2 linked regions of the Callithrix jacchus genome follow. The protein of the gene in region 1 purifies or fractionates together with the protein of each later gene. This does not show direct contact. Links are inferred from orthologs where the notes say so. Each region holds a gene or a part of one and is shown in the gene's direction. Other genes may lie near its edges.

The links. The genes of interacting proteins can lie anywhere in the genome.
Region 2: the proteins of ZZZ3 (region 1) and KAT14 purify together in Homo sapiens (affinity purification with mass spectrometry; 4 studies listed by BioGRID and IntAct, with this or other methods). This does not show direct contact. The link is inferred for Callithrix jacchus from reciprocal best matches to the Homo sapiens genes ZZZ3 and KAT14.

Annotation. Positions count from the first base shown.
Region 1 is NC_133508.1:114,800,385-114,803,952, reverse strand, and holds part of ZZZ3 (ZZ-type zinc finger-containing protein 3), read left to right. Parts: intron 1-1,648; coding exon 1,649-1,801; intron 1,802-3,568.
Region 2 is NC_133506.1:25,179,644-25,183,992, forward strand, and holds the start of KAT14 (cysteine-rich protein 2-binding protein), read left to right. Parts: upstream 1-1,492; 5' UTR 1,493-1,533; coding exon 1,534-1,792; intron 1,793-4,038; coding exon 4,039-4,157; intron 4,158-4,349. Other genes in the region: protein PET117 homolog, mitochondrial, read left to right, coding at 1,084-1,233. UniProt on the Homo sapiens protein: Component of the ATAC complex, a complex with histone acetyltransferase activity on histones H3 and H4. May function as a scaffold for the ATAC complex to promote ATAC complex stability. Has also weak histone acetyltransferase activity toward histone H4.

The DNA of each region.
Region 1 (3,568 bases):
AAACTGGGCCCTCAGGTATGTTGAGTAAATTATCTAGTCATTTAGCTGTTAAGTCTGGGAACCACTGATTCTCTCATTCGGATGCCAAGCTTTTTCCACTATTCTCTGTTGCTTTCTACGGTGGGGAAGCTACTGTTCCCTTCCCAAACAGAACACTGCATTAAAATGTAGCTAGTTTCTTATACTTGTAAAAAATAAAAATACATAATTGGCCGTTTTTCATTTTCTTAATAAGTTATCCTGGTATTTTTCCCTCCCCACCACTGCCATCTTTCATAAAGAGAAGTTAAGAGTATATGTATTGCTGTTACTCTACCATATTGAAGCCATTTAATGTGATTTTACATTAAGTATATTGTCTATATAGTTTCATGCTTTACATATTAAAAAACATTTTTTTTAAACCAAGCTTTGGAAGCTTGTTTTAATTTGCCAGTTGTTTTAAATATTTTGGATTTCCCATCAAATGTAGGATAACTTGTGTTAGATATGTGGAGTTCATCCTATAATTTTGGGATATTGGAACCTTACATTAACCAGTGTTCTACATAAGAGCTCTAATTTTCATGATTAATTTCTAAGCTAACTTTATAGATGTGCTGTAACCATATGTTGTCATAGTTAACACTGGGTGACGATAACAAAAGGAATACTGGAGAAACTGCATGTGTTTTTTTTCCCTTGGGTATACTGTATTTTGGCTGTGAAGATCTAGTACAGCTATAGTTATAATGACTGTTTGCCAATATAGTTAAATTTGGGAACAGGTGAAATGTAGCTCAGGGTGTGACTGTGCTGTTGATCAAGACAGGCGGGCTACATAGTGGTGGAGAGTGAGAATTTGGGCACCACACAGGCCTAGTTTGTAATCCTGGTTCTACCACTATCTAGCTGCAACACACTGGACAAGAAACAACCTCCCTGTCTTCAGTTTCCTCATCTTTAAATTAGAGGTGATGATAACTACTTTATAGGAATGTTGTAAGGATTAAATGATATTGGCATAGAGCAAGCTTGTCTAACCCATGGCCCACAGAACCACGTGTGGCCCAGGACAGCTTTGAATGTGGCCCAACACAAATTGGTAAACTTTCTTAAAACATTACAATATTTTTTTTTTAGTGTTAAGTGTATTTTATGTGTGGCCCAAGACAATTCTTCCAGTGTAGCCCAGGGAAGCCAAAAGGTTGGACACTCCTGGCATGAAGTAAGCAGTCAGTCAGTGTTAGATAAATACTTTCAGATATTGATAATGTTATAGAAATTTTTCTTTTACTGGATAGTGTTATGTCTGGCACAGGCCACTTCATCCTCTCTGATTTTTTATAAGATGATCATAAGAGTTCAGTGCAGCTAGCATTTGACTGCCAAGAGTGGTGAATGCTGGGGATACAAATATAAGGTATATATTGAGCATGTGGTCCATTTTACTGTTGTTGGGGTACTTCCCCTACATTTTTTCTTTTTTTTTTAAGGCTAGTTGTGCTTTAAAAACCCAGAAAACATAGAAAAAGCAACAACATAAAAGTATGCTAAAGGATAGAGGTAAAATTCTTCTGATAGACTTGTTGGAAGTAAATTTGTATTTTTATATTTTCAATTTTTATAATGATTTTTTACTGTCCCAATTAAAAATTTGTTTTCTTAGTCTTCAACAAGCAGACGGCAGCACCCTCTTAATAAGCATCTCTTTAAGCCTTCCACGTTCATGACTTCACATGAACCACCAGTGTATATGGATGAAGATGATGATCGATCTTGTTTTCAGAGCCACATGAACGCTGCTGTTGAAGAGGCATCAGTAAGTTATCTATTTAGTTATTATACACAAGGTATAGAAGGAGAGTAGGATTTTCTAATTATTTCCACTCTTCAGAGAATGTTGGTTTCTTCTCTTTTAATGAACAAGTCCAATGTATAGTTTTTTAAGTAATGTGCTTTTGTGAAGAAAATTTCAATCATATACAAAAGTAGATTAGTATAATGAACCTTAACAATTATCAACATGTGGCTACCTTGTTTTAATCTCTACTCCCTCCCTACCCACCTCAACTCTGCTCTGGATTATTTTGGAGCAAGTCCCAGATATTATCATGTTTATAAAAAGATAATTTGTTAAACAGTGAAGTACATAGTCACTGTTCATTATTTTTTTTCTAATTTGTTTTATTTGGGTTTGGAGCCTCATAAAGCCTATAAATCACAATAGGTTCATTCTCCCTCTTTCACTTTCCTTTTTTCCCTCTCACAATGTTTTTGTTGAAGAACTGGTTCATTTGTACTGTAGAATTTTCCGGTATGGATTTTATTGATTACATCTCCTTGATGTCATTTAGCCTGTTCCTCTGTTTTCTGAATTTCCTGTAAATTCATATTAGGTCGAGAGCATTGGTCAGATTCAGATGTATTTGTTTGTTAGGGTGGGCAGGACTACATCACATGTAGTTTTATCAGCCTGGTTGTCTCTTTTTTTTTTTTTTGCCATAAAAGCTACTGATCATTGCCCAAATCGATTAATTCTTTAGATGTTACAAAATAGTGATTATGCTATCATTTCTTCTTCATTTACTTAATGGACTATTCTATAAAGTAATCCCCCTGCCTCCCAATCAACTATTTGGCTACTCTGAGGTACATATAGAAAAGGTGGGGGATAATTGCTGAATTCTCCCTTTATTTTTATTTATTTATTTATTTATTTATTTATTTATTTATTTATTTATTTATTTATTTGAGACAGCGTCTTACCCTGTTGCCCAGGCTGGAGTGCAGTGGTGTGATCTCAGCTCATTATATAGCCTCAGCCTCCCAGGTTCAAGCGATTCTCCTGCCTCAGCAGCTGGGCATACAGGTGTGTGCCACCACGCCTGGATAATTTTTGTATTTTTAGTAGAGATGCGGTTTCACCATGTTGGCCAGGATAGTTTTGATCTCCTGACCTCGTGATCCACCTGCCTCGGCCTCCCAAAGTGTTGAGATTACAGGCATGAGCTACCGCACCCCACCTGTTTTCTTGTTTTTAAAATAATGAATTCAGGCCGGGAGCAGTGACTCACGCCTATAATCCCAGTACTTTGGGAGGCTCAGGTGGGCAGATCATCTGAGGTCGAGAGTTCGAGACCAGCCTGACCAACATGGAGAAACCCCATCTCTATTAAAAATATAAAAAATTAACCAGGTGTGGTGTAATCCCAGCTACTCGGGAGGCTGAGGTAGGAGAATTGCTTGAACCTGGGAGGCAGAGGTTGCAGTGAGCCGAATCCAGCCATTGCACTCCACCCTGGGCAATAAGAGCAAAACTCCATCTCAAAAAAAAAAAAAAGAGAGAGAAATGATTAATATCTGCTGTGTCTTAAACAGCATATGTGTATAATTTCATACTTTGTATTATTAGAATTGTACATCTGAGAAATGTTTATTTAAACTTACTATTTTTCAGGCTTTGCTATGGGTTAGATACGTAGTTATGAACAAAATATGTTTGATCTTTATGCTTATAAATCTTAGTCTTGTGGGAGGACATAAATGTGTAATTATATCAGTAAGTCACACATTTAAAAAAGTGCTT
Region 2 (4,349 bases), on another chromosome or scaffold:
CTGAGCTTAAGCAGTCTGCCTGCCTTGGCCTCCTACAGTGCTGGGATTACAGGAGTGAGCCACCGGCCTAAAAACTTTATATTTTTGTGAGCAATAAACTATAAAGTGTTAGTTATTAGTAATGACTGAATTGATGTTTTTAAAAGTCTAAACTTGGGTGTCAGGTCCGTGTTCTGGGATTCTGTGGTTTTTTAGTGCTTACTAAGGTAACTACCATTGATGGGAATTTATTTTTTCCTCTGGTAGTAGCATTCTTCTTTTTTTCCTTCTCTCTCTGTTATATAATTAATAATTCTGTATGAGTTTTACATTTTTAGCTTTACATGCTAGAAGTCAAGTTCAGATTTTAGTAATCTGCTTTTTTTCTCTTGATGTTTATTGTTCAGCTAGGATAATTGCTAACAGAAGGGTAGTTTACAGTGTTACTGTAGTAACTTGCCAAGGTTTTAAGCATTATGTATCAGTTACACTTTTAAAATTTAACATTGGCCAGGCGCGGTGACTCATACCTGTAATCCAGCCTTTGGGAGGCTGAGGCGAGCAGATCACTTGAAGTCGGGAGTTCCAGACCAGTTTGGCTGACGTGGCAAAACGCCTCTCTACTAAAAATACAAAAATTAGCTGGGCATGGTGGTGCACGACTGTGATCCCAGCTACATGGGAGGCTGAGGCTGGAGAATCACTTGAACCTAGGAGGCAGAGTTTGCAGCCAGCTGAGATCACGCCACTGCACTCCAGCCTGGGCGACAGAACAAGACGCTGTCTCGATACATAAATAAAATAAAATAAAATTTAACATTTTATTTTTTATTTAACAGTCGTTTTCCTGTTATTTCCCATTAAATAGTCTGTACTCAATGCTCAGAAATTTCTTAAAATATGAGAAATCATTTCAGTAATAACATTTATTTGATGGTTTATTACATTTTACATTTGTACAGAAAATTAAAATAGTAACTGGGTATTTGGAATCTGAAAGTTTTAAGTGTATTTTGGTAACACTGTTATTTGGATTTGAATGGCACAAGGATGGGGACCACCTGTTCGGGATGTTACTGAAATCTGTTTCTTATACGTTTTTAGAGGCTTCATGACGGAGTTATCAGAGACATTCAGAGGCAAAATCGGAAAAAAGAAAACATTCGTCTTTTGGGAGAGCAGATTAAATTGACTAAGCAACTTGAAGCAGAAAGAGAGATGTTATTGGCAAAAGGATCTCAAAAAACGACTTGAATGTGAAATATCAATGGGACAGACAACATGAGTGTATGTGTGTGTGTTGACGGAGAGTAGCTTAGTGGTGTCTTCATCTTTTTTTTGGTCACCGTCCTTTTAAACTTGATCAGATAAAGGACAGTGGATCATATATTGTAAATTACTGCTTTCAGTGTCCCTTATATCTGAATAAAGGAGTGTAGGCAGATGCTCTTTGGAAGAGTCTTTGTATGATCCTGGTAGAAGCTCTGCTAAGGTCACTGTCCAGAGCTTAGGGTTGTTACTGAGAAGCACTGCTGAACTTGTGAGAAGGAGGGGATGGAGAGTAGCATCCACCTGAGTAGTCTGATTAGTCGGCATGATGACGAAGCCACGAGAACATCGACCTCAGAAGGACTGGAGGAAGGTGAAGTGGAGGGAGAGACACTCCTGATTGTGGAATCTGAGGATCAGGCATCAGTGGACTTATCACATGACCAGAGTGGGGATTCCCTCAACAGCGATGAAGGAGACGTATCGTGGATAGAGGAGCAGCTGTCCTACTTCTGTGACAAGTGCCAAAAATGGATACCAGCCAGTAAGGAGCTTCTCAATTTCTTTGATTTGTCAATTGCAGTGTGAAGGTTTGTTTTTCCAACCTGAGAAAGAAATGTGAATATAAAAGAGACCTAAATAAAAGGATAATTATATTTATTCTCTAGTTAATCAGCTATCAATTTATACAAAACCTAGGCACGTTTGTACTAATGAAACTTACTGTCAACCTCTGTCACATCGTTAACAATTTTGATGGTAACTCAATAAAAATGAGAAAATTGGAAATCCTGTGTTACTTAAATAATTAGCCATATTTTTCTAACATGATCATATAGATTTGGGGCAAAATTCCAATCCCAGTGTAGAATTCATGTTCAAGTTTATAAAAATTACTTTGTTAATGTTTAACTTATGCAGAGAACTGCTGTTGTATACTGAAGAGAAGTTAGATGAGCACATTGAAGGTGTTTTTTGCTCTTTTTCTAGGACCAGTCTTTTTTTCCCATTTTCCTTTTTTTCTTCTGGCAAGAGATAACATCATACACACTCCCTGATTGCCCCAATCTTGAGGTTTTCTTCTTTTTTTTTTTGTTTTTGGAGATGGAGTTTTGCTTTTGTTGCCCAGGCTGGAGTGCAGTGGTGCGATCTCAGCTCCTGGGTTCAAGTGATTCTCCTGCCTCAGCCTCCCAGGTAGCTGGAATTACAGGCATTTGCTACCACACCTGGCTAATTTTTTTTTTTTTGAGAGTTTCGTTCTCATTGCCCAGGCTGGAGTGTAAAGGTGCAATCTTGGCTCACTGTGACCTCTGGCTCCCAGGTTCAGGTGATTCTCCTGCCTCAGACTCTCAAGTAACTGGGATTACAGGCATACGCCACCATGCCTGGCTAATTTTTTATTTTTAGTAGAGATGGGGTTTCTCCATGTTTCTCAGGCTGGTCTCGAACTCCCAACCTCAGGTGATCTGCCTGCCTCGGCCTCCCAAAATCCTGGGATTACAGGCATGAGCCACTGTGGCCATTCCCAATTTTGAGATATTCCATGGTCAGCTTCCTGGCACTCGAGGGTATGGCTTGCCAGCCATACGGTTCATACCAAAAGAGGATTTTCCCATTAGGCAAGAGGCTTTACAGACATATGTACCTGAGGAATGCTTTTGTGTGATAGAATCTGTCATCAAGTAGGAGAAATACATTGTAATTATGAAGTGGGTCATTTTCTGGCATGTGGAAATTTTTTCTTAAAATGGGTTCAACTTCAGATTTAGTTACTGTTAACAAATTAATAGTAACATTTTCACAGGAAATGTAGAATTTACTAGTTAGCTGGTTTTTGCTTCTGAGTGGTCTCTGCTTATTAAATCCAGGTTCTGCCTGAATTCTCAGTGGCTTTCCCTTTGTCCTGTGAGGATAAATTTTAAGCTGCTCTTTGTGGTCAGGACCCTGCTAAGTGTAGCTTTGTTGATCCCCACAGAACTTTGCAGTTAGGATGAACTTTTCATTCTTTACAAACAATTCTGTCTTATTCCTAGGGCTTTGCACATGTATTTTTCCTTTCTGGAATATGCTCCTCCACAGCCTCCATTCTCCCTTTACACAAAGACACCCCTTTTCACCTGGCCAATTTCTAATCCTAAGCCTCCCCCTAACATAGGTTGGGTCCCCCTTTTACTTACTCTCACACTGCCCAGTGGTGCATATCACATTCCACTCCTGTGGTTTTCATGTGTCACAGAAATGTAGCTCCTAGGCTCTGCTTCAGAAGTTGATTCATTTTATCTGGTCTAGAACCAAGTATATTTAGAAAACCAGGAACAACTTGGGCGATTCTGATGCATTGTGAGCGTGGAGAATCACTGTGCTGCCCTCAGGGAAGTGCAAACCTGTGAGACCAGGCACCATTATCTGTCTTGGGCTTTGTATTCCCAGTTCCTAGCGCAGTGCCTGGTATGCAGAAGGAGCTCATATTTTTTGAAAGAATGTGTGAAGAGACCTGCCTCTGGGAGTCAGGAATGTGACACTTGGGAAATCCAGCAACAATACCTGATTTTCCAGTACTTTTCTCCTAAAAGTTACTGGATCGTACAGATCTTAGTGGGCGTATACTTGGTGTTAGAAGAATACAAGTCTTTCTTACTGCCTTCCTCTTTCCCATCTTGCTATTGTGTGTTTGCTCAAGAAAAGAAGACTCAACATGGGAAAGGAAAATCTGGGTGATAAATGCATCATACCTTGGGGTTACCACTGCTCTAGATAAACCCATGATGTGACTTTCTGTTTTTCTTCTAGGTCAGCTGAGGGAACAGCTCAGTTACCTTAAGGGTGATAATTTTTTTAGGTTTACTTGTTCGGATTGCTCGGCAGATGGCAAGGAGCAGTATGAAAGGCTGAAGCTGACATGGCAGCAAGTGAGTAAAAAGCCATTCCCCCAGGGGTTTGTTGGAATGAGTATCTAGAAACTTAGGGATGAGCTTTTGAGTTGTTTGGAGGGGGACTTTTTATTTCGAGATGCAATTAGATACCGAATAGGTGGAGAAGGAAGTGAAAAATATTTGCTGTAATCCCTGCGCTTTGGGAGGCCAAGGTGGGTGGATCACCTG